Cricetulus griseus: one gene and its partners. The protein of the gene in region 1 interacts with the protein of each later gene in a pairwise test. Links are inferred from orthologs where the notes say so. Each region holds a gene or a part of one and is shown in the gene's direction. Other genes may lie near its edges. The genes, in order: Pitx1, Spag8 and Zbtb32.

Region 1 (3,743 bases):
GCCCAGAGGGTAAAGTCTTTGCTTGGGGAGGGGCGGCTCTAGAGCTACGATTTCCTAGCACTGTGTAGGGGACTCTAGAAACCAAAGGCTTCCTACACTCTCAGCCCAGGGTCGTGAGATGGCAGTCACCTGGTCTAGCCTGAAGCCCTGGGAAGTCAGAAAACAGGCCCCACGCCGCCCGCTCGCCTGGGCAAAGTTACCCTAGAGGAGGGCAGAGGCTGGCAAGGCCTACCCCTTGGCTGCCAAAAGCCTGATCATAGGAGGTGTAAAACAAAGGCGGAGGTGGAAAAGGTAATGGGCCTTGCTGGGCTCTTGGGGTCTCCAGCCCCACTCACCACGGCCTAGAGCCAACAGAAACGTTTCGTCTGATTAGAAGCCATCATTTCTATCCCAATCCCGGAAAATTGACTGCGGTGCAGACGAAGGCCTGAGAAGCAGCCTTAGGGGAGAGTGTCCAAGCTAATTAGAAGACTGCATCCGGGGGCCCATTAGAGCTCGCAGGCTGCTGTCACTCAACCGGCCCGAGTTCCTGGGAGAAGAGACTGGGGAAGGAGGGGCCGGCGGCCCCTCGAGGACACCGCTGGGAGCTGCGGGAGCCGGGAACCGGCCCTTGGCTCGGCCCCCCGCCTGGTGCTGGCTCGGAGGCGCGGGCTCAGAGCGATCCTGTTCGGCGGGCGAACCTTCACTCATCCTAGGTTGCTCTCGCCAGCGGCTGGCGACTTCGAAGCGGCCCAGACAGGAGTTGACTCTCAGCGAAACAAGTCATTTGGGGCCCCAAGGTGGGCACCAGCCGCGCGGGACTTGCAGGCCAGATGCGTTTCTTTTGTGCGGCCGAGGCAGAAGTCGGTGTGTCACCGGGGAAGGAGGGAGAGGCGCGGTGAGGCCGCGGGGGGGGGTGAGGCGGCGGGAAGGTGGCTGCGAGGGGGAGGGCGCGGCGAGGCCGGGAGGGAGAGGGAGAGAGGGAGGGAGGGCGGCGGAGAGGGCGCGGGCGGGCGGGCGGGCGGGCGGCGGCTCGGGGCTGGATTCCGCCGCGCTCGCTCGCTCGCCGCTCGCTCGCGCCCTCCTCCTTCTCCCCCAGCCCCCCCACCGAGGCCCACCCACCACCCCTGGCGCAGGGACTGCTGGAACCTGGCGGCGCGCGCTGTCGTTTTCAGACAGACTCAGCGGGCTCCGTCCCGAGCCTTAGAAACCGGCCTCGAATCCGGAGCGGGGCCCGGGCCGGCCGGGCGGCTGAGGCCGGAGCGCGTGGCGGAGCACGGAGCCCCACGCCCGGCCCCGCAGCCCCGGGCGGTCGATGGAGCGCGGGCGGCGTCGCTGCTGGCGCGGGCAGCCCTGGGGGGCAGCCGCTTAGGCGCCGCGCTCTTGTCCCCAACAGGTCGCAGCCGGGGCGGCCGGGCGCGCCCAGCCCCGGCCCCTGGAGCGCCCGCTGCGGTCCCCACCTCCATGGACGCCTTCAAGGGAGGCATGAGCCTGGAGAGGCTGCCGGAGGGGCTGCGGCCACCTCCACCGCCGCCGCACGACATGGGGCCCAGCTTTCACCTGGCCCGCGCCGCCGACCCCCGGGAGCCTCTGGAGAACTCGGCCAGCGAGTCGTCCGACACCGATCTGCCAGGTAAGCGCGGCTCCCCGCGGCGCGCACCCAGCGGCTTGGCGCTCGGCCGGGTCCCCCTGCGCCTCGGCATGGGCATGCCGGAGCTTTCTTTTGCCCGGTCTCGACCTGACGGTGAACGCGGAAATTTACACACGCTCTCGCACGCACACGCGAAGCCGCTTCCAAGCAGTCCCCACACGCCAAGCCCAGAGTGGGACTGACAGCCTCTGTGGAACAGGCGCAAATTGCACGCGCGAGGAAAAAACAAAACAAAACAAAAAGTTGAGTTTTCCCTAACTGATCGCTGAGGAGCCGCTGGGGCGCAGGGCAAACAGCAGATGGAGAATGGAGGGGAAAGCGAGACAAAGTGCCCAGAGAGACACAGGCGGGCGACACCTTGACAAACCGGGAGGTGCAGAAGGAGGAGAGGGTCCTAAAGGAGGGGTAGGCGCACAGAGCAGGTTAGAAGACAGGGGTCAGTCAAACGGAGCTCCGGGGGACAGCGAGAGCAAGCCGGCCAGGAGGCGCGGACTGACTCCGGAGGAACCCTGCTGGAGGGTCCCGGCCCACGTGGACGCCCGAGCTCAGAGCCACCAAGGGTCCAGCCAGAGCGGTTCTAGACTGACCCCACAAATTCCGCGCTGCCTTTTTCTTTTCTTTCCTTTCCCTTTTCCTTTCCCTTTTCCTTTCCCTTTCTTTCTCTTTCTCTCTTTCTCTCTTTCTCTCTCTCTCTTCTTCTTTCTTTCTTTCTTTCTTTCTTTCTTTCTTTCTTTCTTTCCTTCTTTCTTTCTTTCACCCAAGAGCTGAGCCTTCGACTGGGCGGCTTCGGCTGTGGCCGTTTCCAGGCCTGTCCTGTCTCAGAGTGGCTGCGAATCCGTTGGGTCCCAACCCCGGGTGGCCGCGGAGCACCCGGCTGCCCGCTGTCCCGGCCCTGGGTGCCTCATTGATTTAGTCTGTTTGTTTCTGTTTTGCATCTCTAAGTGACTTTCCCCAGCCGGTCTGTTTGCTTGGTTAGAAAACAAAGCTTTGCCTGTACTTTTGTTTTCAAAAGTTTTAAGCGTGGTGTTTGTTTAAAATTCAAAAAAGAACATAGTTATACATTGCTTTTTACATCAAATCAGCGGGGTGGTTAACAATTTTAATCGTATGCTTCCTTTGAGACAATTCATTAGGTGTATTTCTTTGGAATTTAAAATACATACATACCGCATGATTCTTGGAGCAAAATTTAAAAGTCAATTCAAAATGGCGCATTTCTCTGAGATTTTTTTTTTCAAAACCCTTTTGTAGCAGTTTTATTTTGTGAATTTAAATAGTATAGCTATAACGTATTTCTCTAGGGTTCGAAAATCTCTACCAGGGTGTTACTGTGAAGGGGTCTAAAACTTATTTGCAATGATGCATGGATTTTTTTTCCCAGAGAAATACCTATGTGACTGGTTTATACACATTTGGCCTTGTATTTAGTTTAGGGGTGTGTTTGCACGAATGGTTTTGACTTCTTGATTTACATTTGCTCTGGTTCTGTCTGCCTAGCTTTGAGGATTTGTGGACCTTTGTGTTTTTAGGTGGAGAGCTATGAGCTTCTCTAGGCTTCTGTTTTGTTTTTTTAATTCCTTTTCTTTATATTTAAATGTTATTGGCTGTGCGCATCTCCTGTAGCTTTAAAGAGACAGAGAGGCACGGTCACTTACACAGAACCTGTCTTATCTAGGCTGCAGTTGGTGGGTTTTCTAGACCTTGGGACCCGAGGCCGTTGTGGCTCTGACACAGCTCGGGCAACAACGTTTCAGCTGCTGCTGGGCTCTTAGCCCACAAATCTACTAGCTTAAGTTGGAAATTTCTGGTACTAGTTCAGAAAAACAGAGATGTTCCGGGAAGATTTACACCCGCAAGAGTCTCCAAACACAGTGTGCTTTTGCTGGTGACAGGAGCAGCCAGGCCGCAGCCAGCGCGGGCTTCAGGAAGCAGGCTCCGCCTAGCCGGGACCCCAGGTCCGGTTGGGGCGTCTGGGCTCTTCTCGGTGGCACACCAGACCTTGAGGTGCCTACTAAGGACCAGCACCCGGCCCGCTCTTTTCCAGTGGGGGACAGTTCCTAGGGTCCCTGGTCGGAGGGAGGGCAGCCACCACTCCCTCCGGCTTCGGTGGAGC
Region 2 (3,743 bases), on another chromosome or scaffold:
TTATCTGATGTGTTTAATGGTAACATAGGAACTGAGACCTTAATGTCATTTTGTTTGCTTTTGGGGATAGTGTCTTAGGTATCCCACACTAGCCTAGAGTTTCCTATGTAGCTAAGAATGGCAAGTTCCTGATCCTCCTGCCTCCCCATCCCAGGTGCTGCTGGCATTACAGATTTCTGGGTCCTTTTACCTGTACAATGCTAGATTTCTTTAGGCACATTTACAGGAACCAATTGCACTCCTAAATCCTTAATAGTAATTACTGTGTGTTCTATAACCAAGCTCACTCACCAGCATCTGGCCCACCCATTGCTACTCAGGCACTGAAATCCAGGGACTTTCCCTAAGGGGAACCATTAATAGCTTCTTAGAAGAATGAAGTTAGAAACACTCTTAGAGCCCAGCTTCTTCTAGTCCCAGATAAGTACATGGGAAATTACTGCCAGCTCTCTCCCTTGGGTTCACCCGGAAGGTCCGGGGAAATGCAGGTGTGACTGACGGGGGTGAAGTGGCCAAGGCCCAGAAAGCAGCTCCTGGAGGGGCAGCGCCAACCATCTTCTCCCGGATTTTGGACCGAAGCCTCCCAGCTGACATTCTATATGAAGACCAGCAGGTGAAATCCCCATAGGGTCTAACCCTCCTGAGAATTTCATAGGTGCCTTTGGGTCTGATGAAGTAACAGTGATCTCTCATCTGTCACTGCCCCCAGTGTCTAGTGTTCCGTGATGTGGCCCCTCAGGCTCCTGTGCATTTTCTGGTCATTCCTAAGAAGCCCATTCCTCGAATTAGCCAGGCTGAAGAAGAAGACCAGCAGGTGGGGAGAACAGGGCCAGAGGCCTGTCTGGGGGGAGCCCTGGATTAAGCTATGAAAGGAGCCACCTCTGTCCCTCTCCTCCCCCTGTAGCTTCTAGGACACTTACTCCTTGTGGCCAAGAAGATAGCAAAGGCTGAGGGTCTGAAAGATGGGTATCGGCTTGGTGAGTGATTTTTGTCCTTTGGTCTGCTCACCTATGAATCCCTGTTTCTCAGTGTGATCTTTAGTCTTTGACCTCTCCCGGTATACTGATCCCTAACCTCAAGCTCATTTCAGTGGTCAATGATGGGAAGATGGGCGCACAGTCCGTGTATCACCTGCATATTCACGTACTTGGAGGCCGACAGCTGCAGTGGCCGCCTGGCTAACCTGCCAGGTGACCTGGGACCACAGACCTGGATGTGTGGGTGGAGAAAGGGAAAAGAAATCCTATGGCATTAATAAACTTATTCCCCCTCAGTTTTGCATTCCTGTCTGAAATATGTAACAGATTTATACTACAAAGGTGAAAGAAAATTGATTCGGGACTATGATCTCTCTGACCATGGTCAGAATAAAAGATCATATGACCTAGTCGGGGCTTAAAGGAGTGCATAGGGCAGATCTGCTAGTTTCTAATGGTCCATTCTAGGTCAGACCTCTAGGGGGGAACTAGTAGAAATTGGTCTGGATGACAGGACAGAGATCTATCTACCATATTCCCTTTCCTTTTGCTGTTACCTCTTATCTATGTGTGCTGAGGATGGAACCCAGGACCTTGGACACACTGGACAACCACTCCTACCACTGGCTGCATTCTTAGACCCCACTTCATGTATTTTTTATCCTTAGACTGTAAAAGAAAAAAAAAAAAAAAAAAAAAAAAAAAGGCTGCTCTCCAACTTAGGGAATGAACCAAGTGAACAGGAGTTCATACTGATGAACTGTGCGTGTCTCCAATGCATCCCCATAAGTCACCCTTAGTCACAACGAATCAAGTTGGGCATGAAGCCTAGGGTTCAGACTAGTGGAACCCTGAAAGTCCAGGTGAGGCAGAATGGAGCTGAGACTTGGAGATCACCAAATCTAAGACTTCGCCCCTGGAGTGTTTATCTCCTGTCATACCCTCCATCTCGCTCCGCCCAGCTCTAGTTGTGCGCAGTCTCTTGGATTTATTTGCCGTCTCCATGGCAACCCGGTAGCTGGAGTCTGAAAATGGAGTCTACCGAGGAGTCTCCAGCGCGGTAAGGAGCCTTGGACAGGGGAACAAGGAAGGTCAACGGACTAATTTCGCAGCGATTTTGACATCCTTGACGTATGTGTTTCTTTCAGATCTTTAGAAGTACTGCCCAGCTCCGAAGGACTAGAGAGCACTTCAGAACCCGTTTTTTCTTCGAGTGGCAGTCCTAGGCCTGGCCTAAGGGGCGTAACTGCCCCAGATAGATTATATGCAGGGGCTCATAAGCCGTGTTCTGTGCCACCAGAGCACTCTTATGACAGTCTTTTCGAGGCTCCCTGCCCTAAATCCTATCAGACAGGCCACGGGAGCTTTGGCTATCAACCCCTCTATATTTCTTACATACCTCGGAATGTCTGGGCCACAGACCGCACAGACCGCAGTTCATCCCCTGTGCCTGGCTCTTCTTATCCTTGCGGTAGCTCTGGTCACAGCTCTGGTCCTGCCTTGGCCTCAGGCTCGGGCTCAGGCTCAGGCCCTGGCTCTGGCTCGGGTTCGAGTTCTACATATAGACCTGCCCCTGGCCCTGGCCCTGGCCCTGGCCCTGCCCCTGGCCTTGGCCCTGCCCCTGGCCGTGGCCCTGGCCCTGGCCCTTGTCCTGGCCCTGCCCCTGGCCGTGGCCCTGGCCCTGGCCCTTGGCCTTGTCCTGGCCCTGGCCCTGGCCCTGGCCCTGGGCCCTGGCCCTGTGGCCCTGGCCCTGGCCATGGCCCTGGCCCTGGCCCTGCCCCTGGCCATGGCCCTGGCCCTGGCCGTAGCCCTGGCCCTGGCCTGGCCGTGGCCCTGCCCTTGCCCTTGGCCCTGCCCATGCCCCCTGGCCCTGGCCCTGGCCCTGGCCCTGGCCCTGGCCCTGGCCCTGAGCCTGAGCCTGAGCCTGAGCCTGAGCCTGGTCTTGCCTCTGCACCTGGCCCTGCTATCCCTGAACCTAGGCATAAGGTCAGCTCCGCCGTTACTCAAGGGTTCATAAACATCCCACGAGATCTGTTCCCTAATGGTGAAATATGGAATCAGTACCGCAACTATGAGCCATACCAACAACCCTGGTCACCCCTGCAAATCGGAGAACCTGGAGTACGAGGGTCATGGAAACTCCCAGAGGTCGAAAGTAAACCTGAGATTGTCTGTAAAACACTGCCTCGTGGCCAGAGTCTCCTTCACAACTGGGAGGAAGAGGTATGAAGGTTTAGCTTGCTCCCCTTTCCCTGAAGGCCGGCCCCAGTTTCCTAGAGGAGCCAATAGTTTGTGATAGGGGTCAGAATGAGAAGGGAGTTCATAGTCACTGATCTTGTGGTCCACAGAGAGCCACCAACCACCTGGATCAAATCCCAATATTTCAAGATGGTTCTGAGAGTTACTTCTTTCGACACGGACACCAGGGACTGCTGACCATGCAACTTCAATCACCCATGTCGTCTAGCACCGTCCAGAAAGATTCATACGGACCCCCAACAAAAGCCTATCAGCCACTTCGAGGTGTGAAGCATGAGAGATGGGATCAGAAAGAGCCCAGTATGCAGAGGGAAAAAAAAAAAAAAAAAAAGCAGGACTTTCTGGTGGGACTGTGGACGGTTTGGTGGCTCTAAGGGCAAACGGCAAGATGTCCCTTCTCAACTTTGTTGCTGAAGCTGCTTCTTGACCAGATTCCTTTTTTTCCTACAGGGAAGCGTGAAGCTATGCTGGAGATGCTCCTGCACCACCAGATCCGGTGAGAGCCTG
Region 3 (3,743 bases), on another chromosome or scaffold:
CTGACACCTGCCTGCATCCAAGCTAGAATGGGAGGGAAGGCATCCTAGGCCCGGAGGGAGAGAGTAGAAGTCTGGTCTGAATACCCTGGAGCCCTGGAGCCAAAGGGAGAAAAGCAAATGTTACCCCATTGGGGCTAGGAGGGGCCGGAATCCAGGGAGAAACCTATGGGGACCGAGACTGAATCTTGTCACCACAGCGTCTACCAACGTCTGCCTAGTTTCTCTTTTAGCTGTTTATTGTACCTATATGAATACCAGACACATGCCACAAATATCCCAAGATATCTTCTCAGGGAATGGAAAGATCAGCTTAGGAATCGGATTAATAGAATGGAAAAAAAGGAAAAAAAAAAGAAACTGAGTCTCAAAGGGTTTGTCCCTTCCTCAAATTACAGAGTGTCAGAAATGGGTGTGGTGGCACTGGCTGAGGCAGGATAGACATTTCAAGGACATCGTGAGCCACACAGGAAGAGGAGAAGAGACGGTGGTGCTAAAAGCGTGATAAGAGGCGGAAATCTCCAGGGATCTTGACCCCTTGGGCAGAAAGTGAAAGAAGCCCCTGGTTTTGATTTCAGAGAAATGTCATTTGTCATCAGCCCAGGAAAAGGAGATTTTTCTCTTCGAAGACCACCACAGGCTTCCTGGGGTTGCCCCCCTCAGAGTCTGCTTGGAGGATCTGAGTCACACACACACACACACACACAACCCCAGCCCTTGCTGTGGTCCAGAGGACAAGGGTCAACCTCACAGAATAAGAGGGGCTCAATGTACCCAGCCAGGGAGAGAGGAAGGAGGCATGGCCCCCAGTTCCCCCGTGCTTCACATTCTGCTTCAGGCAGAAATGGTCTGCAGCTACTCCACACGTCTGTCACCTCTAAGACAGACCGAATAGCAGCTGAATGCTAGGCTGTACTGGCGGCTACTTCCCTATGCATGGCCCTTGGTCTTCACCCCTCCTCCAAAGGACACCAGTGGTATTTGACGCATGAGGAGACTGAGGCTCAGACAGATGACTTGCCCAAGGTGACTCAACTAGTAAATGGCACAAATGAGGCTCAGCCTCTGACTGTTCCAAAGTACCTGTGGCCACAGTTGATGTCTTTGGCTCTAAGGAATTGACAAATCACAGAGTTAGGTGAGGAGGCAGCCTGGGTTGTTAAAAGTAGATGGGTAGCCTCTGGCAGGTCTCAAGCAGAGACAGAAGGTATAAAGCCACACCCCTTTGGGGGGGACTGTGGCAGACTGATACTTGGGATGACTGAGGACAGGGGTGGAGCTAGCTGGGGTGGGGGGCAGGAGCCCCAAGAGCAGTATCGAGCATGCGAGCATGCGAGCATGCTGCGGTGCTAGGAGGCAGCTACAGAGGTGAGTGTTGTCTCCCGGAGCTGAGCCCCCTCCATTCCAACCATTTCTGTGCAGTCCCTGCCAGCTGGCACCCTTCACCCCAAGGTGTCCAGGTAGTAACCCTCCCTCCCTCCCTCCCACAGGGCCCCGGCTCACGGAGGGCCTGCATGCACCGGGGGTAGGCCTGCTAGGTGCTAAGACACTTGGGCTATTTCTTGATCTGTCTGTCTCCAGTATCCTGGAGGCCTGTGATGGTTTTCTTGTGTGTGATTCAACCCTCGACTTATTGGGCACTTTCTAAACCATTCGTTAGCCTCATTTTGTTCTCCAGTTTCCCTTTCCTTTTTCTCCTTCCACAGGCACCAGAGCCTTCTCTAAACCTCTGGTGTGGCTCTCTCAACTCGCTGGATGGCAATCTCTAGTCTTCCTCATTCCTTCTCTGTGTGCTAGAAGCTCCAGCCTCGGAGTGATGCCTAGCACCTGCTCTCCCTGCCTGGCTGCCTGCGTAACCTGTCCAGCTGTCTGGGCTCACATTGTGGGAAGACCCACAAGCTTTTTGAGGTCTTTCATGAAGTGGCATCTTACTCATTCATAAATGCCAAGTTTTGTGAGGAAAAGCCCAAGCTGCTCAGTGGGTCTTCCCTGCAAAAGAGCCCGGGGAAGCAGCAACCTTTAAACCCGAGTTTGCTAACTGTACGGGTCCTAGACCCCACTGCTTGCTACCTCTGCTAACTGCCTGGCTCTTGCTCCTTAGGCCCCAAACCTGACCCAATGTGGATGGATTCTCTTCCCGCTGCTTCCCCAGCTTGCCTTTGACTTGGTTTATATGACTCATTCAGGACAGACAGCTCCAGTCTGAGACTGGAGAGTCACTCCTCTTTCTCCCCTCCCCTCCACAGGCCTGAGAATATGCGGTTTCTCCCTCCCCTTTCTGCCATGGACCCCCCATTGTGGCTTTTCTGTCAGAGCCTCTGAAACTGGTAGATTAGTCGAGAGCAATGCCCCAGACCCCCACAAGGCTGATCAGCCCCTATGGCTCTGATCGGTTGGTGCAGTTAGCGGCTAGGCTTCGGCCAGCACTGTGTGATACCCTGATCACTGTAGGCGGCCTGGAGTTCCCTGCCCACAGCCTGGTGCTGGCAGGTGCAAGCCCGAGGCTGGGATGCAGGGGCAGGTGGGCTCTGGTTGAAGGCATCAGCCCTTCTACCTTTGCTCAGCTGCTAACCTTTGTGTATGGAGAGAGCGTGGAGCTACAGCCTGGGGAGCTGGGGAACCTTGAAGAGGCGGCCAGAGCCTTGGGGGTGCAGGCCCTGGAAGAGGCATGCAAGCGAGCTCAAAGGGACAAGAACGAAGATGAGCTGCATGGAGGACTGAAGAGGCACCAGGTGTCAGAAGAACTCACGAGGAGTTCTGAGAGAAGACCGGGGGGTCCTGGAGAGAAACAGAGCCCAGAGAAGGATTTTAGGAGTAACAGGAAAGAACAGGAGACGTTACACAAGCGCAGAGCACCCGGAGAGAGCCCTGAGAGGGCAGGGCTAACTAGGAAGATGAGAGCAGAGGAGGCCCTCAGCTCAGCCCCTGGGGGCCACAGGGGAGCAGAAAGGAAGCAAGGAGAGGCCATACAAGGTATAGAGAGCCCTGAGGGCTCTGAGGAGTGTCTTCGTGGGTGCCCTGGTCCCCTTTCCCTACCAGGTTCCCCCCTAACCAGCCTCATTCCCAGGCCCTGGTGGGCTGAGGCCCCTTGGTTGGGAGAGGGCCAACCTGGCCTGTGGAGCATCTTCCTGTGGCCGCCCAGATATGGCATTCCCTCCTCCCTTAGCACCCCCGTCACTGCAGCCTGGCAGGTCTGGCCTCAAGACCAGAGGTGAGTGAAGGGCTTAGTGGAAGGTATCTAGGCTGGGGGGGCTTTAGCTCAGGAGAGGCAGCAGTCATGGGTGGGAGGGAACCACGTCTCCATACGTTTGCTAAGTTAAGGAGACAACAAAATATTCTGATCTTGAGAGAGGCCAGAGCTGGTTAGGTTCTCAGGCTTCGCCAAGGCTGTAATTCTTCTCCACCCAGGATCCCACTGACCTTGAGCCACTCCAAAGGTCTCTGGAGTCAGAATCAGCTGGCCTCCTCTAGCTCCACTCCAGGTAAGCCCCTCATTGTTCCATCCAGGGCTTCTGCACAGCAGCTGGGCTCCAGGAGTCAGGCCTTAGCAGGGCCCCTACTTTACCCTACTTGCAGGATCCTTTCCCCAGGGCCCTGAACAACTCAGCCCTTGGGAGACAAAAGAGTCTGGGTAAGGGTACACAGTAAGCAGGGCGAGAGAACTGCTACCTCAGGGTCACCAAAGCTCTCAATTTCTTGCCTGGATGTATTGACTCAATTCAGGGATTCTGGTCATGCCATCTTGA

Evidence for each region.
Region 2: the proteins of Pitx1 (region 1) and Spag8 interact in binary tests that used the Homo sapiens proteins (3 or more experiments, as listed by UniProt). The link is inferred for Cricetulus griseus from reciprocal best matches to the Homo sapiens genes PITX1 and SPAG8.
Region 3: the proteins of Pitx1 (region 1) and Zbtb32 interact in a two-hybrid assay, tested with the Homo sapiens proteins (2 studies listed by BioGRID). The link is inferred for Cricetulus griseus from reciprocal best matches to the Homo sapiens genes PITX1 and ZBTB32.

What each region holds. Positions count from the first base shown.
Region 1 is NC_048596.1:274,818,414-274,822,156, reverse strand, and holds the start of Pitx1 (pituitary homeobox 1), read left to right. Parts: upstream 1-1,443; coding exon 1,444-1,612; intron 1,613-3,743. UniProt on the Homo sapiens protein: Sequence-specific transcription factor that binds gene promoters and activates their transcription. May play a role in the development of anterior structures, and in particular, the brain and facies and in specifying the identity or structure of hindlimb.
Region 2 is NC_048595.1:99,874,165-99,877,907, forward strand, and holds the start of Spag8 (sperm-associated antigen 8), read left to right. Parts: upstream 1-1,402; 5' UTR 1,403-2,008; coding exon 2,009-2,037; intron 2,038-2,125; coding exon 2,126-2,627; intron 2,628-2,786; coding exon 2,787-3,200; intron 3,201-3,325; coding exon 3,326-3,500; intron 3,501-3,686; coding exon 3,687-3,732; intron 3,733-3,743. Other genes in the region: Hint2 (histidine triad nucleotide-binding protein 2, mitochondrial), read left to right, coding at 473-613, 710-814, 905-977, 1,091-1,182. UniProt on the Homo sapiens protein: Microtubule inner protein (MIP) part of the dynein-decorated doublet microtubules (DMTs) in cilia axoneme, which is required for motile cilia beating.
Region 3 is NC_048602.1:5,237,911-5,241,653, forward strand, and holds the start of Zbtb32 (zinc finger and BTB domain-containing protein 32), read left to right. Parts: upstream 1-1,146; 5' UTR 1,147-1,365; intron 1,366-2,243; 5' UTR 2,244-2,342; coding exon 2,343-3,208; intron 3,209-3,405; coding exon 3,406-3,479; intron 3,480-3,743. UniProt on the Homo sapiens protein: DNA-binding protein that binds to the to a 5'-TGTACAGTGT-3' core sequence. May function as a transcriptional transactivator and transcriptional repressor. Probably exerts its repressor effect by preventing GATA3 from binding to DNA.